Linked DNA regions of Ovis aries. The protein of the gene in region 2 interacts with the protein of the main gene of each other region in a pairwise test. Links are inferred from orthologs where the notes say so. Each region holds a gene or a part of one and is shown on either strand. Other genes may lie near its edges.

What was found.
Region 1: the proteins of CCNDBP1 (region 2) and STK25 interact in binary tests that used the Homo sapiens proteins (3 or more experiments, as listed by UniProt). The two-hybrid records come from large-scale screens. The link is inferred for Ovis aries from reciprocal best matches to the Homo sapiens genes CCNDBP1 and STK25.
Region 3: the proteins of CCNDBP1 (region 2) and myelin P2 protein interact in binary tests that used the Homo sapiens proteins (3 or more experiments, as listed by UniProt). The two-hybrid records come from large-scale screens. The link is inferred for Ovis aries from reciprocal best matches to the Homo sapiens genes CCNDBP1 and PMP2.
Region 4: the proteins of CCNDBP1 (region 2) and CCDC146 interact in binary tests that used the Homo sapiens proteins (3 or more experiments, as listed by UniProt). The two-hybrid records come from large-scale screens. The link is inferred for Ovis aries from reciprocal best matches to the Homo sapiens genes CCNDBP1 and CCDC146.
Region 5: the proteins of CCNDBP1 (region 2) and C3H22orf23 interact in binary tests that used the Homo sapiens proteins (3 or more experiments, as listed by UniProt). The two-hybrid records come from large-scale screens. The link is inferred for Ovis aries from reciprocal best matches to the Homo sapiens genes CCNDBP1 and C22orf23.
Region 6: the proteins of CCNDBP1 (region 2) and PIMREG interact in binary tests that used the Homo sapiens proteins (3 or more experiments, as listed by UniProt). The two-hybrid records come from large-scale screens. The link is inferred for Ovis aries from reciprocal best matches to the Homo sapiens genes CCNDBP1 and PIMREG.
Region 7: the proteins of CCNDBP1 (region 2) and MRPL15 interact in binary tests that used the Homo sapiens proteins (3 or more experiments, as listed by UniProt). The two-hybrid records come from large-scale screens. The link is inferred for Ovis aries from reciprocal best matches to the Homo sapiens genes CCNDBP1 and MRPL15.

The regions. Positions count from the first base shown.
Region 1 is NC_056054.1:373,797-377,580, forward strand, and holds the end of STK25 (serine/threonine-protein kinase 25), read left to right. Parts: coding exon 1-131; intron 132-495; coding exon 496-641; intron 642-773; coding exon 774-888; intron 889-1,056; coding exon 1,057-1,128; intron 1,129-2,253; coding exon 2,254-2,390; intron 2,391-2,518; coding exon 2,519-2,558; 3' UTR 2,559-3,050; downstream 3,051-3,784. Other genes in the region: FARP2 (FERM, ARHGEF and pleckstrin domain-containing protein 2), read right to left, coding at 3,567-3,636. UniProt on the Homo sapiens protein: Oxidant stress-activated serine/threonine kinase that may play a role in the response to environmental stress.
Region 2 is NC_056060.1:36,639,070-36,643,479, reverse strand, and holds the start of CCNDBP1 (cyclin-D1-binding protein 1), read right to left. Parts: upstream 2,958-4,410; 5' UTR 2,909-2,957; coding exon 2,800-2,908; intron 2,627-2,799; coding exon 2,567-2,626; intron 2,282-2,566; coding exon 2,202-2,281; intron 444-2,201; coding exon 362-443; intron 1-361. Other genes in the region: TMEM62 (transmembrane protein 62), read right to left, coding at 3,629-3,955. UniProt on the Homo sapiens protein: May negatively regulate cell cycle progression. May act at least in part via inhibition of the cyclin-D1/CDK4 complex, thereby preventing phosphorylation of RB1 and blocking E2F-dependent transcription.
Region 3 is NC_056062.1:57,729,574-57,734,008, forward strand, and holds the start of myelin P2 protein, read right to left. Parts: upstream 2,833-4,435; 5' UTR 2,778-2,832; coding exon 2,705-2,777; intron 506-2,704; coding exon 333-505; intron 123-332; coding exon 21-122; intron 1-20.
Region 4 is NC_056057.1:45,402,459-45,406,119, forward strand, and holds the end of CCDC146 (coiled-coil domain-containing protein 146), read right to left. Parts: intron 2,571-3,661; coding exon 2,322-2,570; intron 1,015-2,321; coding exon 811-1,014; 3' UTR 552-810; downstream 1-551. UniProt on the Homo sapiens protein: Essential for sperm flagellum biogenesis and male fertility.
Region 5 is NC_056056.1:215,574,015-215,578,462, reverse strand, and holds the start of C3H22orf23 (UPF0193 protein EVG1), read left to right. Parts: upstream 1-1,403; 5' UTR 1,404-1,606; intron 1,607-1,906; 5' UTR 1,907-1,915; coding exon 1,916-2,018; intron 2,019-3,233; coding exon 3,234-3,296; intron 3,297-4,448. Other genes in the region: POLR2F (DNA-directed RNA polymerases I, II, and III subunit RPABC2), read right to left, coding at 688-757, 1,231-1,250.
Region 6 is NC_056064.1:25,303,601-25,308,156, reverse strand, and holds the start of PIMREG (protein PIMREG), read left to right. Parts: upstream 1-1,714; 5' UTR 1,715-1,749; intron 1,750-2,274; 5' UTR 2,275-2,310; coding exon 2,311-2,604; intron 2,605-3,699; coding exon 3,700-3,995; intron 3,996-4,487; coding exon 4,488-4,556. UniProt on the Homo sapiens protein: During mitosis, may play a role in the control of metaphase-to-anaphase transition.
Region 7 is NC_056062.1:35,001,148-35,005,575, reverse strand, and holds the start of MRPL15 (large ribosomal subunit protein uL15m), read right to left. Parts: upstream 3,082-4,428; 5' UTR 3,059-3,081; coding exon 2,948-3,058; intron 2,408-2,947; coding exon 2,253-2,407; intron 1,733-2,252; coding exon 1,567-1,732; intron 1-1,566.

The DNA.
Region 1 (3,784 bases), on a different chromosome or scaffold from region 2:
CCAACTCCGACCTGCACCCCATGCGCGTCCTGTTCCTGATCCCCAAGAACAGCCCGCCCACGCTCGAGGGCCACCACAGCAAGCCCTTCAAGGAGTTTGTGGAGGCCTGCCTCAACAAGGACCCCCGATTTGTAAGCGCCTCCTGCCCCCAGCTCGTGAGTGGTGAGGGGGCCTGCATGGCTGAGTGTAGTTGGGGCCCCTGGCACTGGGCTCCAGAGGACAGTTGAGGGGGGTGTGTGCACGCGCATGTGCGTGTATGGAGTGGCGTGCTGGCTGTCTGTAGTGGGAGCTCAGAGGTGACAGGGCCAGAGGCCCCTCCGCTGTGCCAGGGCGGGCTCCTCTGTGCCCCCAGCCCAGGCCAGGAGGGTCTGGAGGGAGGCCCTTCCCCTGGGGAAGACAGTGTGGAGCCACCCAGCCCCCCTAGGCGCCCCTGCCACCTGGGGTCACCTAGGCTCAGCTGCCCGGCGCCTGGTGACCCCTGTGCGTCCCCGGCAGCGGCCCACCGCCAAGGAGCTCCTGAAGCACAAGTTCATCACGCGCTATACTAAGAAGACCTCTTTCCTCACGGAGCTCATCGACCGCTACAAGCGCTGGAGGTCGGAGGGCCATGGCGAGGAGTCCAGCTCCGAGGACTCCGACATGTAGGGCCTGCTCTTCCCGTGGGGCTGAGGCGGGCTCTCCAGGGCAGGGGTCGGCCTTTGGGGCTGTGAACCAGTGCACCTCAGGGCCTTCCTGACCCCCAGCCCCGTGTGACCTCCCACTGTCCCCTTCAGAGACGGAGACCCCGAGGATGGAGAGCAGGGGCCCATCTGGACGTTCCCCCCTACCATCCGGCCGAGCCCGCACGGCAAGCTGCACAAGGGGACGGCCCTGCATGGCCCCCAGAAGGTCGGCCTGGCCCCGGGCGCGCCGTAGGGAGCGGGCTGTGGGGGCACCTGCTGGGCACGCCCGCTCCCCCAGGGTGGCTCTTAGGAGACCAGACTTGGGGGGTGGCTTGCAGTTGCCCACGCCCCGCCATCTCTGCCCTGCTCACCTCCGCATGCTCTGCGTTTGTAGTCGGCAGAGCCCGTCAAGAGGCAGCCGAGGTCACAGTGCCTGTCCACGCTGGTCCGGCCCGTCTTTGGAGAGGTGAGGGCCAAGCTGGTGCGGCACAGGGTGTCTGGGTCCCTCGGGGCTCGTGAGGTTGGCCCCTTGGACCCGGCGTTTTGAGTGGAAGGACCAGAGATGGCCGGGATAAGCCGGCCTCAGGTGACCCTCAAGATCCCGAGCCTGCCGGGGTCTTCTGGGGCCCCGGGGGCTTTGAACATGAGCTGCTATCCTGGGACCTGTCACCTAGAACCACAGACACGGGGTGATCCTTCGTCTAGGGAGAGCCTGGGAGATTTCTGTCTTGGGTGTCAGGCCCTGGACAGGGAGCCCTTAAGGGCCGCTGCCCATTGGCCACGTGGCCCAGCGTCTGTGTCACTTGCTCAAGGGCAGTCAGCAGCATCCCCAGGGGTGAGTCACCAGCAGTGGGCTGTGGCCAGGTTCACACCCAGGGTGACGCTGGCCCTGGAGCCCGGGAGCAGGGGTGCATGTTGAGAGGAGGCAGCGGAGCCGCGCCAAGGGAGGTGGGGGTGGGCAGGCTCCCACCCTGGGCCCGCGGTGCCCGGGAGGGGAAGAGGGCAGGTGGGGAGGGGAGCGGGTGGAGGCGGGCTGTCCATGGGCACGGGGGCTCCTGGGGCCATGCAGCAGCGCTCTGGGGCTGGCACCTTTGGGGTGTGAGGTGGGTGGGAGGCGTGGCCACAGCCGGGCTGGCTGGGCCCCCTTCGGGTTCCTGTTCTGTGGGCTGGCCTGAGGTCAGGCTGCCGGGTGGGTGTCCAGAGAGGTGTGTGCCCTTTGCCCCTTTGTTCTGTGTGCTGGGCGAGCAGGCTGACCCGTCTCCAGCCCCCCGGCCAGGCTGCTTCCTCGTGGGGCCTCCACAGCCACGGGGTGTGAGTGGGCCCCTAGTCCCAGTGGCCAGGTTGGCGGGGCTGGCCGGGCCACTCACGCACATCTAGGCTGCGGGCTTCTGCGACTGGGGTTGGGAGAAGGCTCGTGGTTGGAGGAGGGGGGGCCAGGGCAGGCTGGGAGGCCCCGCCCGTCCTGGGAGCCCCTCCTCGGCGCTCGGGGGGACAGTGGGGCAGCGCTGCCTCCTGCTGCGCGTCACAGGTCGGGTGGGGCGGGGAGGCGCCCCCTTGGCCCCCAGTCAGGTGCCTGGGGGTGTCCGTGCAGCTTAAGGAGAAGCACAAGCGCAGCGGCGGGGGCGTGGGGGCGCTGGAGGAGCTGGAGAACGCCTTCAGCCTGGCCGAGGAGTCCTGCCCAGGCATCTCGGACAAGCTGATGGCCCACCTGGTGGAGCGGGTGCAGAGGTGAGGGCCTGGGGGCGGCGGGCTGCTGTGGGTCCTCCTCACCGGGCGGGGCTTGGCTCTGCGGGTCCTGTGTCCCCCGGCCTGGACCGCGCCCAGGGCGGAGCAGTGACCTGGCCTCTGGTCTGCAGGTTTTCCCACAGCAGAAACCACCTGACCTCAACCCGCTGAAGCCCTGTCTGCACCCGGGAGGAGAGTCTCCACCTGGAGCCGTGTGGTCGGGGCTGTGCTGACCAGGGCCCTGTGCCATCCTAGCCTCACCCCATGGGCCGTGCCCCCGCCCCGCAGAGGGCCGTGCCCTCCCACGCCCCCTCCCGGCTAGGCCAAGGCGGCGGAGGCGGCGGAGGCGGCGGGCTTGGTCTCCTTGAGGCCCCGAGGCCGGGCTGGCCCCTGGGGCTCCGCTCGCTGCCAGGCGGAGGGGCAGGGACTCGCGCGGGGCAGACCTGCCACCTCCCACCTGGCCCGCCCACCCTTGGCGGCCGTAGGTTCGCCTCTGCTGCTGGAGCAGGCACTGTGTCTTCTCATAAGGACTCGTGTTGGCCAGATTGTTGTTTTTTTAAGAAAATCAAACCTCCTTGCTTCCCTAGGTGTTCTGAGATTAAGGTGTTAGTTTTCACAGCATCTTGAGAGGCTCCTGCCACTTTCAATAAAGACCTGAACTGAGATGTGCTGGTGGCGGGCGGGGTGCTCAGGCTCCAAGGCCTCCTCACCCAAGGTGGGCACGAGCGGCCGCTGGCCGGAGAGCTGGCGGGGCAAGGCAGCACGTGGGACCAAGCATGAAGAAGCCTTTTATTCTCAGCCACTCGGCGCATGAGCACCGTACACTTCTTGGGATAAATTAGAGGGGCTTGCTGTCCACTTTTCAGAAGTGTGGGCCCGGGGGCACCAGAGAGGCTTCTGTGCCTAGACCCCTCACATCACCCAGCCTGACGGGAGGCCCGGCCCAGGAGGAGGAAGAGGAGGGCAGGTGGTTGAGGGCGGGGCAGCGCCAGCCTTGCCTGCACAGAGCGCGCCTGCTCCCCCTGCTGCCCTCCTGGCGCCTCGCGGGGCCCAGGGCAGCCCTCCCTGCCAGGTGGCGCCGGAGGCTCGCCTGCCACCAGTCTCCTGGGGGAACAAGCAGTCGTGGGGTGCGTGCTGGCCTTGCTTGCTCGGCTGTCTGCGTCTGGGGCAGGGTGGGCCTCAGGCCTCCTCCTCAGGGGTCCCGGCCCTCCCAGCTGAGGCGCTGGCTCTCTCTATCACCTCCATCCACCTGAGAGGAGGCGTAGAGGTCAGAACCGCCCCACCAACTGCTCGCCTGGGAGGCGGGGCGTGCTCTGGTCCTCAGATCGGCGGGCTTGTGCCCCAACACCTTCCCAAGAACGATCCCAAGTCAAGAGGGAAGGGCCCCTTAAACCCCA
Region 2 (4,410 bases):
CCACTTAACCTATAAGGGAGCTCAGAAACAGCATGTGATGAGGCGAAGAAGCCTGGGGATGGCACTGATAACCAAGCAGTATCTGTGGTGATTATAATGCATTAGAGACGGAGAAGCCAGTGAGAATTAAAAATATTAAGAGTCAAGTAAGGCAGGGGACATGAGAACACAGTATCTGAACTTTAGCACAAAGGCTTACTTATGGAGGTCACTTATATAACTACCTTTGACTGCACTTAATGGGAGAAAGTTACATTACATGATCAAATTGAGGAAAAGGTAAAATTCTCAGGACATAAGCTGTCACAATAGCAAAGATCTACCCCATAAACTGAACACTTATGTGTATGGAGTGGCTTACCCTGATCCTTGGGAAACAAATAGTACACTGCAATAATTGCCTTGATGGCAGCACGCACTTGTTCACAGAACCTCTGCGTTTCCTAGGAGATGATAAGCCAATTTCAGAAAGAAAAAAAGAAATGGATTAGATTGATGTGGTCAAGCCATCTACAGGGGAAAAGAGCAGACATCTGTACAGCATCATCAAACATTTTCTGAAGTCCTATTATGCATCAGGCTGTGCTGTTCTCATCACATACCAGGGAGGAGTTAGCTGGATACCAAGTACTGAGCAGAAACTCAGTAAGACAAGAAGAAACTGTAGGAAAAACATCCCTGATACTCTATATCCCAAGATATCTGTGATCAGCTTTGAGGTATTCACCATATCTTAGACCAGGAGTTGGCAAACTAGAGCCCAAGGGCCCAATCAGGCTCACTGCCCGTTTTTGCAAATAAAATGTTTCTAGGACACAGCCACACTCATGCGTTTACAAATTGTCTATAATAGTATTCACACTACAGAGGCAGAGTGGAGTAGCTGGACTGCAAAGCCTAAAATGTTTACTATTTGGCCTTTGACAGAAAAGTTGTCAGCTCTATCTTAGACCATTAACCAGTTGTCTATCTCTCTGCCTCTGTCTCTAACAGAATTTCAGTATACCTAAAGGAAATTAGCATGGACTCTACAATGCTCAATGCTGACTATTTTCCTTCTAGGCAGTCACTGGCTTTCCCTTATCTTCCTTGTCCTCACTGCTCTGCTAAATTCCAAGCCAGTGCTATGCAAAATGTGGTCTACAGATGGTGCCAGTCCATAAATGATCTGTCACCAGTCTGAGATGGATAGGTACAAAGATTGAGAGTACTCAGAAACTTTTACACCAATGTGACATTGTTTCAACATCCAAACATATAATTTTGTAAAAATACCACGTTGTAAGGACTGGAATCAAAAAAAAAAAAAAAATTCTTTGGCAGAATTAATGTGCTGAGATCCTAAGAAAGCAACTGTGATTCAAATATATATAATTCATATAAAGCCATATTTTAATTTTTCATCTACGAATGAAAAAACCACTGTCCTGAGCATGTACAGGGTAATCAAATTGACAAAAATTAAAGACAAAGATAAAATATTAAAAGCAACAAGGGAAAAGTGACAAATAACATACAAGAGAACTCCCATAAGGTTACCAGCTGATTTCTCAACAGAAACTATTATCACTTGTGTAAAAAGCAGCAGCCATATGCACTTAAGTGTGAATATGCATAGCATATATATGGAATGATACAAAAGGAACCAAAGACAGGAGATATAAGCTTTTTAGCACATTTAACTTTGATATCTTTTGAACCTTATACTGTCTACATTATTATATATAAATATAATAATATATAATATATATAATAGCATAAAAATAATTCAGTACAAAAGAGTATTATGTAGTATAATAGAAAAGGTGGAGCTCAAACATCAGATAGAACCTAATTTAAGTCCTAGCTCCACTACTTATCTACCTTAAACTGAGCCTCTGAGCCTGCCTGTTCATCTGTCAGAAAAGGATCATGTATGTGAAAACACTTAGCAAATAGAAAGTATATTTTAAAATGCCAGAAAGGAAATAACCAGGATGGACCTCAGAATGAACCAATATTTAGAAGAGCCATCTACCCCATGACAACTACTGCATTTGACAATTTGATCTTCAGAACAATCCTGTGGAGTGAGAACCTTCACCTTACTCGACAGATGAGGAAATTAAATCCCCAGATTTGAGTGTAAAAGGTGGAAAGAAAATGAGAGGCTTCTTAAGGAATACTGAGCAGCACAAGAATCCTAGAAAAGTGAAGCCCACCTGTGGAGACGGCAGCGGAAGTCGAGAGAAGGCTACGGTCAGAGTCGTGGCTTCCCTTGACACTGTCACAGCTGCCTCATCTGGGGGAGTGACAGAGCAGGCGGCAAGAGCCAATATGTTAGTGCCAAAAGGAAAAGGCTGCAACGGCTGCACGGACCTTGAAGATAATGCGTTCCCTCTCCACCCATGCCCGCTGAGACGTCTCAAAAACACCTCCAAAAATCAGTGTTTTATATTTCAACCTCGGAGATACCAAGGATAGGTAAGGAGTATCCCCGCAGAGAGGCTGGGGCGGGGGGGAAGCAGGAAGGAAAGGAGTAGGGAAGAGATGAGAGACAGCAGTCTCCAATAGGAGAGGCACTCACTGAGTCTTCTCCAAAAGGCCTCCCGATCAAACTCCTTGGTGGTTTCCTGGGCTTCGCCGACTAGTGGGTGCGGGGTGTGCGCCGGACGGCGACAAACGAAAGAGCACAGGTAAGCGGAACGACCTCCCGGACCCACCTCCTCTGCCCGGACCCGGCGCCGCGGCCGCCAAGGCCTGGCTCCTTCCCACCCAAGCCCGCCCCTGCGGTCACCCGGCCTCACTAAGTCAGCTCACCCCGCACTCCAGGAAGCAACTGCCGCAGCTCCCCGGCTAGGTGCCGAAGCTGTTCCAGAGGCGGATCCAGGGTGGGGTCTGGGGCTGCAGATACAGCTGCGCTCTCCATCCCAGTACCGCGTTTGGAGCCAGCGGACCAAGCCCCCACAACAGCTTCCGGAGCCGCACCGCTGTCGCAGCTCCTCTTCCAGGCCACGGTTTCGCTTCCGGCAACAACCTGCCCCGCCTCGGAAGCCCAGCCACACCCCTTCCGCTCTCAAAAGCCCCGCCTCGCTCCCGCTCCTAGCGACACAGGCAAGACCCAGACCGAGTTGTTTCTTATTCATTTATTGGTATTTGATTAGTTGAAAACACCCCCGACTGAGGAAGCAGAGAGCCCATAATCCTGTCGAAAAAAGGACTAGGAACTAAACAAGGGTAGTCAGGGTCAGGTCCAAGTTTGCACGTTCCCTGTCCCTAAAGTGGCCTCCTTACAGGCTGCCAAGTTCCAGACACTGTGCTAGGTACTTTACATGAGGTATCTAAAAAACACACTGAGTGGGCCTCAGATACTCCCTTATCCACCAGCCCCTGCCCTGTGGATCTCCTAGATAAAAGCTTTCTCTTCACAAAAGTAAATCAACCCTTTACCTTCTTGAGGAAGGGAGGAATCACGGCATTATATAGTTTTCTGCAGTCCATTCTGCAAGAATCAGTAGTAGGTAATTCCCCCCAACTCCCAGGTGTCCAAGGAACAGCAGCTCCCTGATGTTTGCCCATCAATACTGGCCTTTTACCTGCTGCTGAGGCAGAGGCCTGGGCTACAGAGGTGGATGAGGAGATACAGACTTCAGGAGCTCAAATGGCTTTTTAACTGCACTATGAAGGTTCCAAGCTTAGCAGAGTTCACTGTCCAAACACAACGAATGAGAACAGGTGTCGCCAGTGTCAACCAGGTCCGTAAAGGGGAGAATAAAAAAGCTAGAGTGCCATATGTCACGTGAAGAAAGTAGCAGGAATAAATATGCCAGATGTACAGCAGTAACATAAGTAGGTGAACAGGTATAATTTTCAAGTATTTTCCTTGATGGAGATGAGACCTGAAGCTGTGACCAAAGCACCGCTGCAGCAAAATCCAACACAGGTAACCCATCAAGGGGATGTTAAAAAACACCAGCTGGAAAGAACAGAACAGAACCATTAGCTTATTAAGCCCTGGTGGGGTCAGGTCTCACTAACATATTATTGGTGGCTCCTAAAAATATGTTGCTTGCTCTCTTGGGGGTTAACTGATACTTTATACTTTAATCACACTTGTGTCCTTAGTTGTTTATTTGCCTGCATCCTTTTGTTCATCTTAAAGGCAAGTGTCATTTCATTTCTGTTGAAGCTCTCAAATGTTTAAGGTAGAAATGAATACATATGTCTATGTACAAACACACACACACATACATATATATACAGTACTTTTTTTGGGGGGGTAGCGTGAGGGGGGAACTTGGATATCAATATTTCTTCTTTACTTTGCATTTGTAATTGAAGTAACATAATGAATACTAGAATACAAACTAGAAGATTTAAGATTTATAATTCAACCATAACTACAATATGGATTTTCATTCACCAAATAAT
Region 3 (4,435 bases), on a different chromosome or scaffold from region 2:
GTTAGAGTGAAATTACTCACCACCACCATTTTTCCATCCACCAACTTTCTCTTTATTGTTGTCTCTTTGCCATCCCATTTCTGTACTTGATTCAGTGAGCCTCTTGCCAAGGTTACAGTGCTCTGCAGAGACACATTCATATAATTGAATTTCTAAGACTTTGATTAAAGAAGCAGTTCATTCAGTACTGAATCATTTTCATAACAGATGTTTCATGAGGCACATTCATTTTTCAACAGAATGAAGTGGGCTACCCTTTTGAACACTAGTGGGAATAATCTGTCTCAAAGCAGTTGATGGAACTAACTTTGAAGAGAAACAATAAAGTTTACCTTTGTTTTTCTATTGTCAGCTGTGGTTTCTTCAAATTCCTGGCCTAGCTTGAAGGAGATCTCTGTGTTTTTAAAGGGACTTTCAGTTCTTATGGTTATAATATCCCCTTTCTTGCTGATGATCACTCTGGGTTTGGCCAAGTTTCCCAGTTTTCTGGTGGCTAATCCCACACCTGAAAATCAAGATAGTGTTAGAATTTTGTTGACTCAGAGAGCATCTACCTAAAGGGATTATATGGGTGGTTACATTTTATGCTCAGCTGTGCTTCGTGTGTGTAGGTGGCAGATAATATCACTTACTACTAAGGATCTCCTCCCATGTTTCATCACCTGATGGAAACACATGCCCACCAACATGGATATTTAAAATTTTGTTATTACAATAGTAATGTCTGAAGATTTTAAACACAGAAGTATTTAGCCTAAATAGTGCAAGTCATCTACTTTTACCTTATCCAATCCCATGCTCCATTGAGAAGCACTAATTAGAGTTTTGTATGGATCATTCCAGGCATTTTAGTTTGTACAAATAAATATTGTAGATATATTTTTAAAATGAGACTATGACTTATATATGCTCTTCTATGGTTTTTTCCCTCTGTAATATATTACAGATATAGATAAGAATTCTTCCCACATCCTTGATGGAAACTCATTTCTGAAAGTTTGTTGTAGTCCCTAAATTATTTGTACCACTGCAAATGATAGAGATAAATAAAATAATTAAAAAATATTTTTCCATTTGATAGCAAAACAAAATTAGACTCAAGTATCATTACTGTATTACTCGATTATAGAAATACATAGAAAAATAGAAATGTAAAATGAGAGAGACACAAAAAGAAAAAACCTAGTTATATATAAATATACATGTATTTATGGCTATATATACATAAAGTCAGAGAAGGCGATGGCACCCCACTCCAGTACTCTTGCCTGAAAAATCCCATGGACGGAGGAGCCTGGTAGGCTGCAGTCCATGGGGTCGCTAAGAGTCGGACACGACTGAGCGATTTCACTTTCACTTTTCACTTTTCTGCATTGGAGAAGGAAATGGCAACCCACTCCAGTGTTCTTGCCTGGAGAATCCCAGGGACGGGGGAGCCTGATGGGCTGCCATCTATGGGGTTGCACAGAGTCGGATACGACTGAAGCGACTTAGCAGCAGCAGCATACATAAAGAAGTGTGAAGAATTAGAGCCAATAAAGGATTATGAGCTGTATTCTTTTTTTCTGATTCTGATTAATTGTTTCTTATTTGATGTGATTTTGGACTATGTTTTTCAAACTAAACTTCTGCAATAGAGCCTAAGAATCTACATTTCACCAAGCCTCAAGGTGTCCTTTTGCACTTTAAAATTTGACAATGATTCAGTTAGGGAGTCTTTTATTGAGATGTTCTTATATTTTGCTTCTGTCTCAGCTGTACAGTGAAATCCATAGATCTAACCAAACTTAGAGTATGAATCTATTCCCATAAGCTCCCATAGTTTTCCAGGCAATGCAACATGATTTTGCTTATTTTATCTAAAAATAGAAGCCTTCTTAAAAGCTTTCTGAATAGGTAAAATTACTGGTACTTTGATGACCATAGATACCTGAGGTCATTGGCTTCTTTCTCTCCTTATTTATACAGCTCTGGAAATTTCCAAAGACTGTTCACACCACTTGTGCTCATATCTATGGAACATTTCCTAGAAATAGCTGCAAATAAAGCTGATGGTGGTCATGACTAGACTTTCTGTCTCTATCCACTGCTCCAACTGAAGGAAAGCATGATATTAGTGTAATCGAACTGGAATTCATTGTCACAACAAACTTCCTTTTTCCTCAATAACTTTCCTAGACTGAATATCCTGCTTTATGAAGCATTCACTTTTCACAAACATTTATCCACATACTTATGTAATATCAGACAATCTAGAGGTAGAGAAAGAAAATTCTGGCTTAGCTAAATAGCACTTTTAAATGGAGGTTTTCCATTAACTTTAGTATATTTAACTCTTTACTTCATGAACACTTTAGTTGTTATAAAACTAACTTTCAGAAGAGCTGAAGAATGGGTTGACTAAGTTTCTAAGATTTCTTTCCTCTGGGTTTGAACCAAAATCCTATTGATATGAAACTGCCTTTGAAATCGGTAGGCATTCTAATGCATTTAAGCAGCTCTTATTTGAGTTAAAGTCTATTAAAATTGCCACAAACATAGTGAAAATTATCTGATTGACACCATGGAAGATTAATCCCAGAAGAGGGTTGTACTTCAACCTGTGAAGCTCCCAGACTCCTGGGAAAGGAGTTAGAAGGAAATAGTCAATGCATTTTTCTCAAAAAGGATCTTCTTAATTAGAACAACAAAGAACATTTCTTACCCAGAGCTTTCATGTACTCATCAAAGTTCTCACTGGAGACAAGTTTCCAGGTGCCTAGGAATTTGTTGCTCATTGTGATGGATGAGAATTCAACCCAGTGGTAGGTGAGATTCAGGAGACTCAAATAAGATGCTGAAGCCTCAGAAGATTCTTTTCAAAGATGTCTGAAGCATGTGACTCTTACAGAGACCCAATGGGGAAAAGCAGTGTCAGGACTGGGCAATGAATGGCTCTTCAATTATCCACTGGGACAAAAGGAAACCTCACATAATGTCTCCTTCAGTCTCCAAAAATGTTTATAAAAGTCAATGAGAGTACTATTTGAATCTTTAAAAATTTTGGTTGATCTTACATTTTTAAGAAGTGCTTCGGTCCTTAACACTTTGAAAAAGAGTCCATAAATTGAGCCCTATACTGTATTAAATTATATGGGCATGAATGAATGAATACGTGTGTGTGCGTGTGTGTGTGTGCTTAGGCATCTTGCTCACTCTCAATCCTGAGTCTGCACAATTAAGAATTCTTATTGAAAGAGAAGAAAGAGAGGAAAAATGTCCATGAGTATTGTGATAACTGCCTCAAATATGTTGTGGGAGAGAAATGCAGGAGAACAGTGTGAGGACGTATTCATAGGTAAGGAAGGCTTGGAATAGTTGGCATATCCAAGGCAGGCAGAGTAGGCAGACAATACGGTCAGTTTATTGCAGCAGAGCACAGAAATTGCTTTCATGGGTGAATAAAAAGAGTAGCACTAAAACATGCTCTTTGACCATAGCAAAGATTTTAATCTTAAAAAAACATTTCAGGTCCAAATTAAGCAGGTTCTTGGTTAATAAAACAAGTTTGAGTCCTTTAAAATAAGTCTATAGTTTTAGAAAGGATATTTTATAAAAATAATATATATTGAGAGCTCAATAGTCACCATGATAAGTGCTTCTTATGGATTATTATATATGATCCTTTCAACAACTCCAAGAGTAAGGCATTATTATTGCATCCATCTTATCAATGAGAAAACTGGAACTTGGGGAGGTTAGGTAGCTTGTGTCCAAACTTGAATAAGGAGAGGTATGATTTGAACCTGGTATCGTTTCTCAGTGCATAGATGTTAGACCAATATTTTACACTGCTTCTGCTATAATATGGGCTTCCCTGGTGGCTCAGAGGTTAAAGCGTCTGCCTCCAATGCGGGAGACCCGGGTTCGATCCCTGGGTTGGGAAGATCCCTTGGAGAAGGAAATGGCGATCCAGTCCAGTATTCTTGCCTGGAGAATCCCATGGACGGAGAAGCCTAGTAGGTTATAGTCCATGGGGTCGCAGAGTCGGACACAACTGAGCGACTTCACCTTCACCTTCACCTTCTGCTATAATATATATGCTGGAGGTCCTGGCCAAAGATCAGGCAACACGCTGATATCACCATGACTGGATAGAGACATTCACTCTCTGCTCGAAAAGCAAGAGAAGTGTGACTTCTCGGGTGGTCCAGTGGTTGGGAATCCACTTGCCAAAGCAGGGGACATGGGTTCAATCCTGGGGTGGGAAGATCCTAAGTGCCACACAGCAACTGAACCCAGGAGCCACAACTACTGACCCCATGTGCTGCAACTAGTGAAACCCGCATGCCTAGAGACTGTGCTCTAAAACAAGAAAAGCCACCCATGAGACGGCCGTGCACCACAATGAAGAGTAGCCCCTGCTTGCGGCAACTCAAGAAAGCCGGCACAGCAG
Region 4 (3,661 bases), on a different chromosome or scaffold from region 2:
TGACAGTAGTTTGAGCATATTAATGAGTGGAAGAACCACAGGCTTCAAATCTACTTGTGTATTTTTATATGAGAAAGTAAACAGAATCATGAAAGTATATTTGGGTGCAATACAATATAGAGTAATGAAATAAGTGAAACTGGCCTCATTTTCAACTCTTTCACATGCAGAGTTATAAATATTTTCATTGAAATTTTGAAAGATGTGGCATCAAAAGAAAGTAATCACTAGCATATTTGCCTGTAATATTGTGGAAAATCTAGTTTTAAGAAAGGAAAAATAGGGCATGAATGTTTTGCACAAAAGGATTCTTTATTTGTAAACAGAATCATTTATAATGTCACTTTAAAAAAGTCAAGGTCCCTTACTGCTTTTCAGTTTAGATTTACCAACATCAACTTCCAATATAGCTATTTACTTACCAAAATGAGTCATGCCCCTGTGATACTTGGGATATTTTTCTTTTAAACCATTTTTTCTTTCTCTTTAAAGTGAGTATATTGAGCAGGATCTCCTTTTCTTTCTGTAATAAAGACCACTGCCAATTTCTGTACTTTGTTGAAAAGGTGTTTATTTTTATCGCATTTGTATAGCACTCAGACTACTATATATTTCTGAAATGTAATCAAGAGATGGAGTGAAAAAGAAAAATCGATGGGTGTGAAAGGAAGTATATGTCGTTGTCTGTTGGGTAATTGTGGATACTGTGTTTGTTTGTAATTTAGGGCTGTTTGCTGACATTTTTCAGCTGTGGATGTGAAAAAGCCTGGTTGAAGTATCTCCTTCAGAAGCCTGGGTTGGTTCACATGCTCAGATTTCAATTGGCTTTATAACAGGTTTCCTTATGTGTCTTATGTTGGCCCCAGGTTCACTGGGTTTGAAAGGAGCCAGAGCGCCATACGGTTTTGGCAGAGGGAGAGTGGCCTCTGCCTCTGGGATGTAGGCATTTGGACGCTGCTCTGCAGTCGTGTAAACACCATTGGGCAGCTGGCGAGTTTCAGCTTCCAAGAACTCCTGCAAAGAATGATTTATCCTTTTCAGTTTTTGAAAACAGTGGTTAAATCACTTTATCCCCAGGGCCCATCAGACACAGCTGGGTCTGAGCACCCGTTGGCTATGCTGGCCAACATTCTAAGGGACAAAAGGGTGTGAGGGTAGAGTCACCAAACACACCCACCCCCACACACATTTCCTCTCACTAGAATGAACCATGTTGCTCAAGCATCACTCTGTTCCTGGGGTTTAGGGTTTACCATAAACTGGTTGGTAGGGCCTAAAGTCACCACATTTCAAACTCAGTATCTTACATTAAGCACTAGTTATTTATTTCCATGTCTGTGACAAAGGCAGGATAATCTTTTTCCTTTGGTAGGTCACTGGTGAGCAAATGGTACCAAGAAAGAGATAAGGAGTAAAAGAGAATTAGAGGAAAGTAGTCAGCAGCTTGCTTTGAGCCTCAAGATTCTGCCTGTGTTTCTGGAAAATAGGAATCTCTTATAGCATTAAAAAGAACTTGGGGGGGAAAATGGAGACAGGTAAATGACAGCTGGGACACCACAGGTAAAAATCTGAATGCCTTCAAAAATACAATCCTAGGCAGTGAGTGTGAGAATGATAAGTCAGACCCTATTTTCAGGAATTCTTAGTATGTGTTTGGAGTACAGTTTTTTCTTGGCTTAGAGAGTGAATAGTGATCTTCTGGGGATGTCTGCCCCGTAGTCAAGAGTAAGTTGTAGGTCTCTTTTGAAAGAGATGCCTAATTCCACTCTAAGATTATTGAAAAATCATGGGAGTAGGAAAAGAACTGGACACAAAGCCCCTAGGTGGGGCCAGTGATAGAGTTAGGTCCTTGGTGGGAGAAGGGTGGCACTGGAGTCATCGCTTCTGCACCAAATGCAGAGTCTTCAGAAGCCTGTGATGAGCATATGCTTGAGGCCTTACAATATGCTGTGGTGGCCACAGCAGATGGACATCGAAGAGCAAGGTATGGTCCGAGCAGGGCTGCAAAGACAGAGACTGGAGACCTAAGACAGAACCAGTGCCAGCCTGGTCATTGCCGTGCTAGCAGGAGGCCCTGGCGTGGGACTTGGTGCTTGCCAAATGCTCTCCAGGGAACATTCTGACCCTTCGCACTGTTGTACTTTGACTACGTACATAATAGCTTAAAAAAGGCAAAACTTCTCTCTAATCAGTTGTTAGGACTCTGTGTGCTGCGGAGTAGAAAAATTTCATGTATTTCAGGAGGATTGACAACCCCTGAAACAGCCCTTCCTGGCACACTTTATAAATGCAATGTAGAAAATAAAGAAGCCACAGCTTACCCGAGACTTTTCAGCGATGGCCAAGGCGTACATTTCTTCATCTCGAAGTACTTTCAGCCATTCTCTCTCAATCTCTTTATTGAGGGGAAGACCCTTTTCCATCCTGGAATTGCAAGTGAAGATGAACTCTTCCTTCTCCTTGACTTCCTTTTGGAGTTCAATGGCCATAGCTTGTTTCATGGACAGCTCAGCAACAAGAGCCATCATTTTTTCAGTAGCATCTTTGATCTTTTTCTGGTAGCCATTCATCTAGGATTGAAAAGCCCAAGGCTTAGCCTGTGTATACACTCCATGCAGACAGGCTACTGGCTGGCTGTGATAGTGGGTGGCATTCTTGCCTGAAGATGGGAGAGGTTAAGTGGGAATTCACAGAGACTAAGGACTGGAGGAGACCTCAGATTCAGCGCAACACTCTGGCTGTGAAATAAGGACAGCAGGAAGGAAAAGAAAGAGATCTGTTCATCTAGGCAACGGATTTCCAGGTGGGTAGAATTGAGGGGAATCGTTTAGTGTCTCCATATTTAAGAGGTGGTAAGAACAAGGGAAAGGATATTCTTGATGTCTTTAAGTTTTGACCTGATTTTGCCTTCTTGCTAGTTTGCTACTTATCCAGGGGGGAGAATCTGATAGAATGGAACTGTATTAGTTACAGTGTATTAACACTGGCTTAAATAAGATAATCAGCATCTGTGATGATTTTTAATAGAAGCTATTAAACATGTGTGTTTTATTGATCATAATTCCAAGGATGCACCATTATGAGGTCATAAGCAAGCATGAGCTGAACTGGACCATCTGGACAGTAATTTGATGAAATGTAATATTCCTAGTTGTGTGTGTTTACATGCATGTACTTACCTTTTCATATAAGCTATTTATCATTGAATTAAAGAATCAAAGAATTAAAAGATAAGACTAAGTGGAAATTTTGATTTTAAAGGACAGAAAAGAAGTAAAAGTTGGAATTAGTTCCTATAAGCTTTCTGGCCCACTGCATGGCCTTTCAATGTGGCCTTAGCCCTGGTGGGGCAGTAAGAGATGACTCCTCCCACCCGCCAACACTCACTGTTGTATTACTTTGCCTTAGTATTTCTTCATATCCTTTCACTACTGACATCATAGTATAAATGTATTTGGGTATAGCCTGTCATCCCACAGGAACGTATTCTTCATGGGGACAAGGTTTATTTGTTTTACTCATAATGTTCCCAGTGCTTAGAATATAGGAGGCAAAATTAAAAACTGAATGTTTGTTGAATGAAGGAATGAATACGTTCTTAGTCTGATTGCTCAGTCCTTTGAACCAAGGTAAACTGAGACACAAATATGACCTTCCAAAA
Region 5 (4,448 bases), on a different chromosome or scaffold from region 2:
CACACAGCACAGAAGACCCTATTTTATCTATGACGCCAGTAACTCATCCACCAAGCTGCTCAAGCCAGAGACATGGGAGTCATTCCTGCCATCTCCCACTTTCTCAGCCCCACATCCAATCCACCAAAATCTCTCATCTGTTTTCTCATCACAAACACTACCAGCACCCAAGTGCAAGCTACAGATGTCACCTGGATTGCACTCTAATTGGGCTCTCTTTGACTCTTGGTTCACCCAACTCATTCCTCACTGGATCATGCCACTCCCCAGATCCCCAAAACTTATCAGCAGCTTCCCGCTACCCCTAGGCTACAAAATCTTGGCTGATCTTGGCCCTCACCTCTCCAGCCTTATCCCAGGTCACTCTCCCCCTTGCTCTTTATTCAGCCCCACCCTGCTGAGCTCCTGGTACATAATAAACATTCACCACATGTCTGCACAATGAATGAAGGGGCTATTTCAACTGAGTAAACTAACTGCCCCAGAAGTCATGCTCTGTGGTCCAAGAGACAAAAGCCTTTGGGCCAACCCTGTAGGACTCCTCCACTACCCAGGGCTAGATCTCCCCTTTCTAAGTGGCAGTACCCTGACCACAAACGGGAGGCAGAGGCATGCAGTCGGCCATCACTGGCCGGGCTATCTGGCAGCTTGGGCTGCAGAGAGGGGAGCCCAAGGCTCAGTACTGACCTCCTCGGCATTCTCCAAGTCATCGAGCCCTTCATCCTCCTCCACGTCATCAAAGTCGTCTCCATCAAAACTGAACAAGTGTAAGAAGCCCGTTAGTTAGAGCATCACTTATTAGAATCAAAGTGGGCAGAAATCTGAGTCTCATGTGATACGTAGGAGGCTCTCAATAAATATCCACCTAACCAGTGAATCATTCAATAAACCAGTCATCTGACGTCCTCATCTTAACTATGGGCCTCTTCTAGAAAGAGACCCCAGCTGAATCAACATTTGGTACAGACAGACATAGAGCCCGACTCAGTGGAAGTTTGCTGAAAGATACTTTTTCACTGATCCTCTCTGGACCCTCGAGTCGGAGCCTTTTCCGCGCCCAGCCTCTGACCGGGTCTATGCTCCTAGTTCCCAGCCTTTCCCTTCTCCGGCTCTGCGGACGCCCTCACCACCCCCAGTCCTAAACCTCTGGCTCAACTTCCTTCGACCCTGGCTCCTGCTTCATCCGCCCCTTCTGAGTCTTCGGAAAAGTCGTTTCGCTCCCTCACTCACTTGTCCTCGTTGTCTGACATGACGCCCGCGCAGCAGCCACCGGGTTCCGAGACCCAAACCCGCGCGGAGACCGGCGAACAGCGTACCTCCGCCTCGCGCGATGCCAAGAGTACTCGGCGCCTGCGCTGTGACCTAGCGGTAATCACTTCCGGGAGGCAGGCGGGGCGAGAAATAGGCACATGCGCGGAGCAGTTTGTCTGCGTTACCATGGTAGCCGGAGCCGCGCTTGCTGCAAGCTCTAGTGGCTGAGATCTCAAAAGTATTTCTGGGAGGGACCAGGCGCGGCTGCTGCTTCAGAGCCTTGGTTACGATCTCCGGAGCCCAGCCGCCGCTCTCTGTGAGGAGAGAGGCCACCCAGCCGGGGTCTTACTTTAGGGTGAGGTTTCCCGTTTGGGCGTATCACACAACGGGCACGGCTACCCTCACTCCCCTTTCCTCCCGAGGGGGCTTCCCTGCCACAGGCGCCAGGTCAGGATGAGGTCTCTGTTCGCGTGTATATATCTGCCAGTGGATCTGTTCGAGGTGGGAGGATCGGGCACTGTCGCGATGTTGACAGGCGGCATCACGATCTCTTGAGACCCTACACCCGCTCCCAAACTTTGGGTGGTGTTGAGGGTGTGAGAAGAGATTGGATCTGGGAGACCGGGAATGTTTCATTGGGTTTTTCCCTCTTCAGAGCCCTCCCATGGCTTCCCAGGAGAGGGTGGAGACGGTGACCAAAGGAACAGGGTTCTGGCGCTGTCCCAAGCCGACCACTTACACCCCAGGGACCTGCGAGCTGCTCAGAGGTCAGTGCATTAAAGGGCACAAGAAGAGCGGTGGTTACAGTTACCCTCTGTTTCTCAGTTCTCCCCTACATGACTTATGGCTTAGTAATTGTATTTTCAGTTTACAGATAAGAAGCCTGGAGTTCAGAAAGGTTCAGGCGTCCAGCTCCTACAACTTGGAAGTGACCCAAAGTCAAAGAACTAAGAATTTCAGAGTGGTTAACTCCCATGAACCCCTTAGATCACACTTTCAGTTTCCCCAGGGAAGACTTATTTGCTCTCCACCCATCATCACCACAGTGGAACCAACTGTTATGCATCTGCACACTGATGCTACTGCTACCGCTAAGTTGCGTCAGTCGTGTCCAACTCTGTGCAACCCCATAGACAGCAGCCCAACAGGCTCCTCTGTCCCTGGGATTCTCCAGGCAAGAACACTAGAGTGGGTTGCCATTTCCTTCTCCAGTGCATGAAAGTGGAAAGTGAAAGTGAAGTCGCTCAGTCGTGTCCAACTTTTAGGGACCCCATGGGCAGCAGCAGCCCAACAGGCTCCTCTGCCCATGGGATTCTCCAGGCAAGAGTACTGGAGTGGGTTGCCATTGCCTTCTCCTAATAGTCTGCACACTACCAAATACCTTTTCCTTCACTGGGCTTAGTGCAACCTGTACTCAGATACCTAGTGTGTTCCACTGAATTAACATTGAATTAACATTCAGTTCATGAACGCCATCAGGGCATGATGCCTGTTTTGGCTCACATTTGTAGCTCCAGCCCCTGGCACGTGCTCAATGAATACTTGTTCATTCACTGTTTCATTCACTCAACAAAAATAGTTTTAAAGCCCACTGTGTGCTTTAGACATTATCCCGGGTGCTGAAAACACAGCGGTAAAGAAAAGAAATAAGCAAAAATTATTGTTCCCTTGGAGCTAATATTCTAGGAGGAAAGTAACAAATAATAAATAAGGTATATAGAACTTAGATGGTGATGAGTGGTATAGGGGGAAAAATGTAGAAAAGGAAGGGAATTCCCATGTGGTCCAGTGGTTAGGGCTCAGTATTTTCAGTGCTGGGAGGCCCAGGTTCAATCCCTGTTCAAGGAACTCAAATCCCACAAGCCAAGTACGCAGGCACCCAGAATGGGAGCAGGAGGCGATACAGTATTAAGTTTCAGTGGGGTGAGATGAGGCGTCTGCTTGCAGCCCAGGAAGCCTCACCAAGGTGCTTTGTTTTGCAGTGATGATGAAGGAATCCAAACTGACTAACTTCCAACAGCGCCACATCATGGACACCATGAAACGTAAGAGGCTGACCACAGAGGCTTCCCGGGGAGAGGAATTCTGGGTCACATTTTAATGCTCTCTCCATGTTGAGGAGCAGGGGACCTAATTTTAAACACACACACACACACACACACACACACACAAACAAAATTTGAATAGTATTTCTGACCCTTGCTCTTGGGGAATTGACCTTGCAGGGTCTTGGTCTTTGCTTCTTCACAAGACATGGGTCCCAGTCCATGAGCCTCTCCCACAGTCCAGCTCTAGCCGGCCTTCCTAACAGGGCATCAGCCCATTCGGGACTTCCTGCCCAGTCAGACAGTCTGAACGCTGTCAAGTCCGCAATCTCTCCCACCCTCTTACACACATAACATATGAGCTCTCCAGACGAGAGGCCTGTGTGTGTCTTATGCATAGTTTTATTCATTCTAGCTTAGCTGGCAGAAACACGATTACTGGCAGGCTTCCAACTTAGGAAAACTATGCAAAACTTTTCCATCTTTCACCTCTGACCACACACTGTATTATTTATTTTTAAGGAAAAAAAAAAAAAACTGAAGGTAACAAGGTGCCCTCTAAGATCTTGAGAACAACCTTGCTTTCTGAGATTTAACTGAATCAGCTTTTAGGGGATCAGAACAGAGATCTGTAAAGTTACCTTTAAGAGGATACCAGAAGGTTCAAGCCTGCCAGGTTTCACGCAAATCTACCAATAGCTATTGCCTTCTTTCAAGAAAGAAGGTGCCTATCAGGAGACATCTGGTCAACCACAGAAACTGGAATGGGAGAGTCAGAGAGACAAATACTGACTGCCCAGTGCTGGCTGGGGGAGGGAGGCTCCATCAGGTCAGTTCAGAAGTCAGATCTCCTTCCTTTTTGTGGACAAGGACAACTCAGGCTGCCAGAGCCTAACACCACAACACAGCTGAGTCACATAACTCAATTTCCAAACTCAAGTCATCTACTAATCATCTGATGTCCCTTACAGATCCCCTGGAGAAGGGAATGGCAACCCACTCCAGTATTCTTGCCTGGAGAATCCCATGGACAGAGGAGCTTGGCAGACTATAGTCCATGGGTCGCATAGAGTCAGACATGACTGAGCAACTAACCCTTCCTTCCTTCCTTACAACATGACCATAAAGAGAATGTGCTAGAAATTCCATTAA
Region 6 (4,556 bases), on a different chromosome or scaffold from region 2:
CAGGTTTGAGCTAGTTCACCAAGTTAGTTCACCTGTTTGGTTCACCTTTGTGGATCATTGTCAGCACAGAGCTTAATCTATCAGACACAAGTAAATAATTGGAAGGACAGGTGAGGGGAATGAGGAAGGAGAAAAGGGGGGTTGAGAGACACCAGCGTGACCTTGTTGGAGCATGTTGGTTTAAGGTGCCCACAGCACCCAGGAGGAGAAGGGGATACAGGTGCTGATTTAGCACAACTGTGGGGAGAGGTGCAGGCTGAGGAGAGGCCATGTGCTATGCTGGAGAGGCTCATGGACCCTGGTCCCAGGGTGACAGAGTTTGAATCCTTGCTGCATATAAACCGGAAAATTGAGGTCCCTCCCCATCTCCATTTCCTCATCTAGTCCTAGGCTGCAGCGAGGGGCTCTTGAGTCCCTCCTATAAAGTGCTTGGAAATTAGTACCTGGTGCATAGTGCATGCATGCGTGTGCTCAGCTGTGTCCAGCTCTGTGCTGTGCTTAGCGGTTCAGTCGTGTCCCATAGACTTGCGACCCCATAGACTATAGCCTGCGAGGCTCTTCTGTCCATGGGATTCTCCAGGCAAGAACACTGGAGTGCGTTGCCATTCCCTTCTCCAGGGGATCTTCCCAACCCAGAGATCAAACCCATGTCTCCCTCCTCTCCTGCATTGACAGGCAGATTCTTTAATCACTGCACCACGGCCAGGTGCATAGTAAGTGACTCGTTTGAATCGGTCTCCTCCCATGGGAAAAGTCCCTTTACCAGGGTTTGGGGGAGATGACCCGGAGGTGAAGAACAGAGTTAATGACTGACCTTCAAGAGACCCATAAGTTGAAACTCGGGAATGGAGCCGGGGGTGGGGGGGTGGGGGGGGGGGGGGGGGGGGGGGGGGGGGGTGGTGTATGGGGGGAGGAAAGGTTCCAGGTGAGCAGGGCGGTGAGGAAACGGAGTAGGGACTACTTTGAGGGGGAAGGAGAGGGGGCTTTCTAAATGGTGAATTTTTTAGCTCGGATGCTAAAGGGAAGGGGGGAGGCACTCAGCTGGATAGAGGGGATGGTCAATGGGACAGGGTTGGGGGTCGTACTTGGAGTGGGGGTAGGGGGCTGGGGGATGCACTCAATCTGTCCCCTCTCCCAAGATGGGTTTTCCTGGGGATCCGTGCGGATGGCAAGTTTGGGGAACTGAAGGGCAGTCTCAGGAAGGCAGAGGGTCACGAGGGAAGTTTGAAACAAAGTTTCCACAGCAACCCAAGGCTCCGAGTTCCCAGCCCAGGCTCTTTCTGACAAAACCACTGAGACCTTCAGGCAGGATGGGAGGGACCCTTAGGAGCCGGGGACCCCGCCTCGCCCCGCCCAGTCAGGCCAGCCAGAACCCTTTATAAGTTAAGGATGGGGTCCAGTGGCCCGAGACCGAGGGTCAGTAGGTGGCGCCGGGGCTGAGCCGGCGCGGGCTACGGATTCTGCAGGAAACTCGGGCGGGACCCATAGATACAAAGGGTCCTCTACGCCCGGCTCCCTGTCCAGCGGGCCTCCAGAGGATGAATGGGGATGGCTAGGCCAATCCGAGAGCAGGATTCACAGCCGCTGGCGCAGGGGCCAATCGGATCCCTGGCGTGGCCGCGAGGCGGGGACAGAGCCAATCAGCTGTGAGGACAGGACCAGGGGGGCGGATCCGCGCGGTGTTTCAAATCGACTGGATGGGCGAGGAGCAGCTATGCACGTCGTCTGGTCAGCCTCGGGAGCTGTTGGGTGAGTGCGGGCCGGGGCGTGGTGGGGTTCTGTTCAGAAGGGACGGGAGCAGGTGGGGTGGGGGACCCCTAGTTAGGACGGGCACGGCATGTGGGGCTTCTGGGTACAGCCGGATGGACATCGGGGTGTCTGGTCAGCCCACCTCCGCGCATTGGGTCAAGGCGAGCTCGTGAAAGAGTCCCTAGCCCAGCCTGGGCCAAGTGCTGAGGCTCAGCGACGGCCGGCGGGTCCTGACTGCCTCCCTCCCAGCCTGAGGCAGATAACGGAAAGTAGCCTGGGATGAAAAGACAGTTAATTCAGACACTCACAGCAAGGGACGCCTTGCTGGCCGGCCTTGTCCAGACTCTGCCCTCTCCCGGGCCTCTATGACCTCACTTCTAGGAAGAATTCCTCCCCACGGTTGACAAGCGACCCACCCCATGGGCCCCAGGACTGGAATCTCTTTCTCTGGTACCCGGTGTCTCACTGGATCCTGGGAGTGGGATGGGGGATACCCTGCTGATCTCCCATTGATCTCCTCCCCAGGGTCTGTGGGAACAGAACAGACTCTTGAACAGTCAGATGGCTTCTCGGTGGCCAGCTGTGGGGGCTTCCCTGCGTCGGAGGTCTCTCCAGAACCAGGAACGGTTGGAGGAGAGCGAGGCCCTGCAGCCTGTAGCCGGCCACCTGGACACCTCCAGCGGGGCCCTGGGCTCCCTGCGCAGACAGTTCCAGAGGCGGCTGCCCCTGAGAGCAGTCAGCCTCAACCTCGGGGTGGGCCCCTCCTGGAAACGCCTGGAAACCCCAGAGCCAGGGCAGCAGGGCCTCCAGGCTGCAGCTCGCTCAGCTAAGAGCACCTTGGGTGCCATGTCCCAGGTAATGCCAAGTATGGATGTAGGGCTTCCTTGATGCTGAAAAATGGCTGCCCCCAAAGATCTCCCAAGAATATAGACTCTGTGAAGACAAGGTCCTTGATTTATTAGTGTCCCCAGCTCTCCAAACAATTCCTGGTACACAGTAGTGCGTGCACGCTAAGTCGCCTCAGTCATGTCTGACTCTTTGTTACCCTATGGACAGTAGGAGCCAGGCTCCTCTGACCATGGGATTCTCTAGGCAAGAATACTGGAGTGGGTTGCCAGGCCCTCCTCCAGGGGACCTTCCCAATCCAGGGATCGAGCCCATGTCTCATATCTCTTCTGCATTGGCAGGCGGTTTCTTTACCACTAGCGCCATCTGGGAAGCCCATGGCACCCAGTAGATGCTCAACAAATAGCTGAATGAGTGAATGAAAACAGGGTTGTGGAGGAAACAGAACATCATGAGACAAGATGAAAGAGCTATACTGTGATAGGAAGTTGCTAATTAGCAAAGGGCTAATGGTGGGGGAACACCAAAAACAAGCTTAGTCAGTGAAGGTGACTGGAGGAGGTGACTCCATGGAATTCGCCCAGGAAAGGGGAGGTATGAGGAGGTATGAGGAGTGTACAAGACAGGTGAACTAGTCCAGACCCAGGGTTAAAGGAGAGCAAGACGCTGAAAAGAACTGGCAGGAACTTAGTCTGGGTATGGCTGGAGGACAGAGAGCAAGACAGGGCGTGAGAAGGTAGGGCACGTGCCGAACATGTTTAGAATTATTTCACTGTCTCCTGGGGGTAGGTGTGGTCTCCCCCAGGCCTCCCCTTTGAGTCTGGGTCAATCTGTCCAGAAAGAGGGTTTGGATTTAGACCAATGCAGGCTCCATGAGCCAGAGAGGTTATGCTGCCGCCCATGCACTTATCCCTGGGGGCCTGAGCTGGGTCCCTGCTATGGACCTGTGGCCTCATGGACTCATCTGCATCCCTCACCCTGAGCCTAAAGGCTTCCTGGGTCTGTAGGACCAGCTGGTGGGCCGAGGGGTTGGGGGATGCCCTGAGAAATCGGGTAGCTCACTCCTGGCTTGTCCACTCTGACTTTTCCATGCACTGGTCACAGAGGATCCAGGAGTCCTGCCAAAGTGGCACCAAGTGGCTGGTGGAAACCCAGGTGAAAGCCAGGAGGAGGAAGAGAGGGGCCCAGAAGGGCAGTAGCCCCCCAGCTCGCAGCCTGAGCCAGAGGAGCACCCGGCTATCTGTGGCTGCCCCTGCCCACTCAACCCTGGACCCCCGGGAGAAAGAGTACCACCCCCTGTCTGTCCAGATGGGCCCCCATGCCCACCCTTGGCAACGGTCCAGAAGGGAGGCTGCCTTCCGGAGCCCCTACTCCTCGGCAGAGCCCCTCTGCTCCCCTAGGTAAGTGGGGTAGTGCCTGCCCCTCAAATGCTAACTGGGCCCTGGGGGCTACTGAGCACCTTCAGGACACCCTGAGCTGAGCCACATCCATGCTCTGGCTCAGCTCTGTGCCCCACTATGGGGGACCTGGGGAGGTCCTTTTGGGCCTGAGTTTCCCCACCTGCCAAAGGAAGAGGCGAGCTTAACTCTAAGAGTATCACAGTCACCCAAGCTCCACCAAAAGTTTTTGAAGCCACCTGGCAGGGTCGGGGGGTGGAGGCTTACCTGTCTGCAGGATCATCTATCCTTGACAATGGCCTCAGCTGTTCTCTGCCATCTGCTCCGAGCCTCTCTGACGACACTTCCTAGAATGGGGGTCTGGGGTGATCAGTTCCCAGCCCACACTGGTCATCTCTGGGGCCTGTACACCAGGTCCCAGTGCTGGGTTAGAATAGGCTCCTGCCACAGGTTTCCAGCTAGTGACTGATATGCACAGCTTTTCCTTCTGTCCAGTGAGTCCGACAGTGACCTGGAGCCCGTGGGGGCAGGAATCCGGCATCTCCAAAAGGTGTCCCAAGAGCT
Region 7 (4,428 bases), on a different chromosome or scaffold from region 2:
GTAAAAATAGTTCTGAACTTTTTTAACGTCCTGTCTTTGGTCAATTTCATTAGGCCTAATTTCAAAACAGATTCTGACAAAAATAAAAAGATGGTGGCACTACCATTCTTTTTGCAGTGGTAAAAAGTTTTCTGCTATTTTCGTGTGGTTGAAACAAGGTGGTTCCCAGTTTCAAAATATTTCATTAATTATAAGACACATTTCTCCCTTCTCTGATACTGGTAGGGATTTTTACAATCAATGGGGCCTTTGACTCAATAAAACAAGGTCTTGCCATGTTACGTGACATTTCTCATTACTATCCATAGACTGCTTAACCATTTCCCTGTCTCTGGGCACTAGTGTTAGTTCCAGCATTTTCAGTGCTGTAAGAAGCCTATTTAGTATTTCTTTATATCAATTAAGTTTCTTTTATCTTGTTTTACCTTAGGACACATGTTCCTAAATTGGTGATTTTATGCTGAAAAGATCAAAACCATCTTATTTACCCAATATTGACTGCAAATCTGAAATCCAGAAAAGGGCAACTGGTTTACAAAGCTGTAAATGATGAATAACTGTACATACTCAACCAATAGATTTCAGAATGATTTTTGCTAGTTTAATAGACATATGTCCAAAGCTGTTGGGATGTGCAGTTTAAGGTCTCATGAGGTCATGGGTTTTTCTGTTACTTTATAACCATGTTCCTTGATATGCCTAAAGTAGAATAAAGTAGAATACTGAGGCTTAATCCTGTATTTGGTATTCTCTCTTCAAATCATTAATTTGGAAAACTTTTATCGACAAGTTTACTTTTTCAAAGATCTGAAAGGTTCTCCCATAAACTATGCTTCCCTCTAGTGGACGCTAAGTCACTTACACAGCAATCAACTGTGTTATTGACACAGAAGAAAAAGGGGGTGGGGGGGGGCATTAGTTGATTAACAACGTACAGGTTCATCTGCCTATAAAACTCCTGGCCAACTTCTCTAAATAGAAAACCTCTTCCCTACAATCATAACTGGATTTCATTCATCCCTTTCTTCCATAAATACTGAGTGACTATCACAAGCCAGTATTTCCAATGTTAAAAATACAGCAATGAGTCAAAGCACCTGCACTCAAAAGAACTGACATTACAGTGAGGAAGACAATGAAAAATGCCTGCACTGCCTGGTAATAAATATCAGGTGTTCATATATTCAAAGAAAAACCCTTTTGGGCACAATAAGGCAGACCGTCAGATACGAGTGTTCCTTTATAAAGAACATCTCCATAATAAAAATAATTTAAGCCTCAAATAATTTGGAAGGAAAAAAAAAGTTAAAAAGATCCTCCTACTAGGATGACATCTGAACAGAGAACCAAAGAGAGTGAGGGAGCAAGCTGAATGGATACACAGGAAGAACACCCAGGACAAGGAACAGTGGCTTTCTAAAACCACAACTGAATATAACACAATCAACCACTACATAATGGTTACAACTCAAAAGAGATAAAAATGAAGGAGGCACAGTGTTGATTATACGGAAATCAGAAACAGTCATCCATGAAACTTACCAAGAAAATTTAATTCAGACTTACCTCCTCTACCAGCTGGACTCCATAGTCCCTTTTAGATGGCTGGATGGTAACACCTCGCCCGTTGACCAGCTGGGTTAAGTCAATAGGTTGTGTGGGATCGACGCGGCCCAGGTCAATCAGGTACTGCAGCCTATTGAGACTCAAAGGCTGATACTGGCGTCTGAAGCTACGAAAAAAAGCAGCAACAGATGGAAAACTCAGCCAGACTTATCTTCCTGTAAGACCTCCAGATAAACGCAGAGTTCTGTCCCATGCTTTCCTGCATCAATTTAGTTGGTTTAAAATAAAACTCCTACATTTACTTCACTCATTTATACAAATAAATATGTGAAAAATTTAACATACTATATGAATTATGCATTAATGGATCTCAAAGTAAGAGCAGTTACCATTTACTGGGTGACGATAGTGGGCCAGAGTTTTAAACATAAAATCATTCTAAACCTCCGGAGCATGCACCATTACCTCCATTCTGCAAGTCTGGGTGTAACCTCTGGCTTTTTTCCTCTACTAAGTCAGGCTAAACTTCATTACCAAAAATGGTTCAAAGGAAGGGTAGCAGAAGTTTGCTTTAAAGAAGTGGATTTAAATTTCTACCAAGCTATCATTCGGTGATTCTCAGAATCACAAATTTTTACACTAAGAAGCAAAGCAAAAAAATTAAACCACAAACAAAGCAAACTTACCTGTGTCCTTCATTAAACCCGTATTTGGGGATTCGAAGGTAAAATGGAGTCTGGCCTCCTTCAAAGCCCAGCCGGGGCCGGGTTCCTCTCTGCCGTTCTCCTTTGTGGCCCCTGCCACACTTCCTACCTCTTCTCTGACCTCTTCGTCGTCTTTCCTGGAAGGAGAGAAGAATGTTTTATGAGCTGCAGATGCACTTTTTAAAGTATATTTCACCTCTGCGCTGTCAGGTTGGTAAGGCCCTCATTCATCCTTCCAGCCAGCAACGAGCCAAACCCACTACGTGCCAGGCACTATTCGAACTGCTCTGAGGTCAAGACACCAAATTATAAAGAAAACTTTTTTCTTACTTGGCAAAAGCAACGAGTTGATTTTTAAGGTGACAGTATGCCCATAACAGCTTTTCTAGCTGTGTTCAGTGACTTGCAGAACGTAAAATATCTTTCCCCTTAAGATAAAGGTATAATGGAAAAGCACTTCATGCTAACCTAACACTGAATGAGACAACCATCTGCACTTCCTGCGACCTCGCTCCCAGCCCAGGTTAACGCAATTACTCCTCTAAACCCGACCTGAGAGCTGGGACTACCGGGGCAGGCTTCTCGCATCACTCAAGAGCAGGGGCTCACAGGCCCCTCGTTCCCGTAGCGTCTCTAGACCCGCGACCGCAGGACTCCCGCGCCATCCCCCGCCTTACCGGTTTCCTGGAGCCCGGGTTCGGCCTCAGGTTAGCCAGGCTCACACGAGGCAGGGCCCGAAGCAGGTCCAGGGCCCAGGGCCCTGCGGCGCCCCGCACCGGGCCGGCCATGACCCGCTTGCACGAGACGCCGCAAGGGCGCCTGGCACCCAAACCCACGTGACCTCGGGCGCTGCTTTACGGCCGCGGCCCCGCCCTCGTCGTGCAGCAGGAGCGCAGCGCCGCCGGCCTCGGGGCACGCCGGGAGCCGGCCGGGAGCCGGTCTCCATCCAGGCGGCGGCGGGTACGCTAGGCTATCTCCTCCGAGCTGAGCTGGCTTTGTGTTTAGTTCACTGGGGATGAGACCGTATTTTGAGAGATCGTGCCTTGTTCTTGGCTTGGAATGTGCTGCGTTTTCTTTCGCCGCACAAACACCTGTTGAAACCCTGCGCGTTGTAGGACTTGGTGTCACTGCTGAGCTGTCTCACAGTCTGGTGCTTAGAGAGGCAAGGTCTCCGAGCTCCACGTGGAGCCCAGAATAATATACTCGGAGCTGAAGTTCCGGTTTGGAGCTGGGAGCTGGGCTGATTATACGCCCTGTCAACTGAAAAATTGTACAACACAGAGCTGTGAGTTATTTGGGGCAAAACGAGAGCTATAGCCTAGAAGACAACCACTCAGCTCTGAGAAACAGTTCCGAAGTGGGGGAGGGGGGAGGTCGGCTTATGTGTTATTTTAGTGGAGTCAGGAGTCATTGGAAAAGACCCTGATGCTGAGAAAGGTTGAAGGCAGGAGAAGGGGACGACAGAGATGAGATGGTTGGATGGCATCACCGACTGGATGGACATGAGTTTGAGCAAGCTCCAGGAGTTGGTGATGGACAGGGAAGCCTGGCGTGCAGTTGGACACGTCTGAGCAATTGAAATGAATGGAGTCAAGCACATTTTGCAGAGGCTCCTGCTAGTAAGGAGGAGCAGGTGTCCCCATTAATGATTTCACTGCTTTTCTAGACACAAGGAAAGTCAAGAATTTGGGCTTGTAAAATCTGAAAATGTCTGAATATATGAAGGCCTGTTCTGTCAGTTTTTCCCAGAACACAGATGCCTCACTCCTGATCTCAGACCTGAATTCTGAGCTGAGGGGTTTGTTGAAAGACAGGGGCTGCAGTGGCTCCTGACTTCATCCCTGTAGAGGCAGAAAGTGAGTGCCTTTCAGTTGGCAACCCTGAGATATAATAGTACCCAGAGTTGAGCTATTACCACAGGCTGGCTGGTACCAACCTGTGCTTAAGACTCAAACTCTGCACCCCACCCAGGTGCACTTGTGGTGCTCTGACCAAGTCAGAGATGCTGACTTCACTTGCTGTTAATGAAGGAGCCACCCTGGCTTGATTCATTAACTAAACAACCCCTTGTTGGGTAGATGTTATGACCTTTGACAGACTTGGCAAGGCTGGTTCAGTTCAGTTCAGTTGCTCAGTCGTGTCTGACTCTTTGTGACCC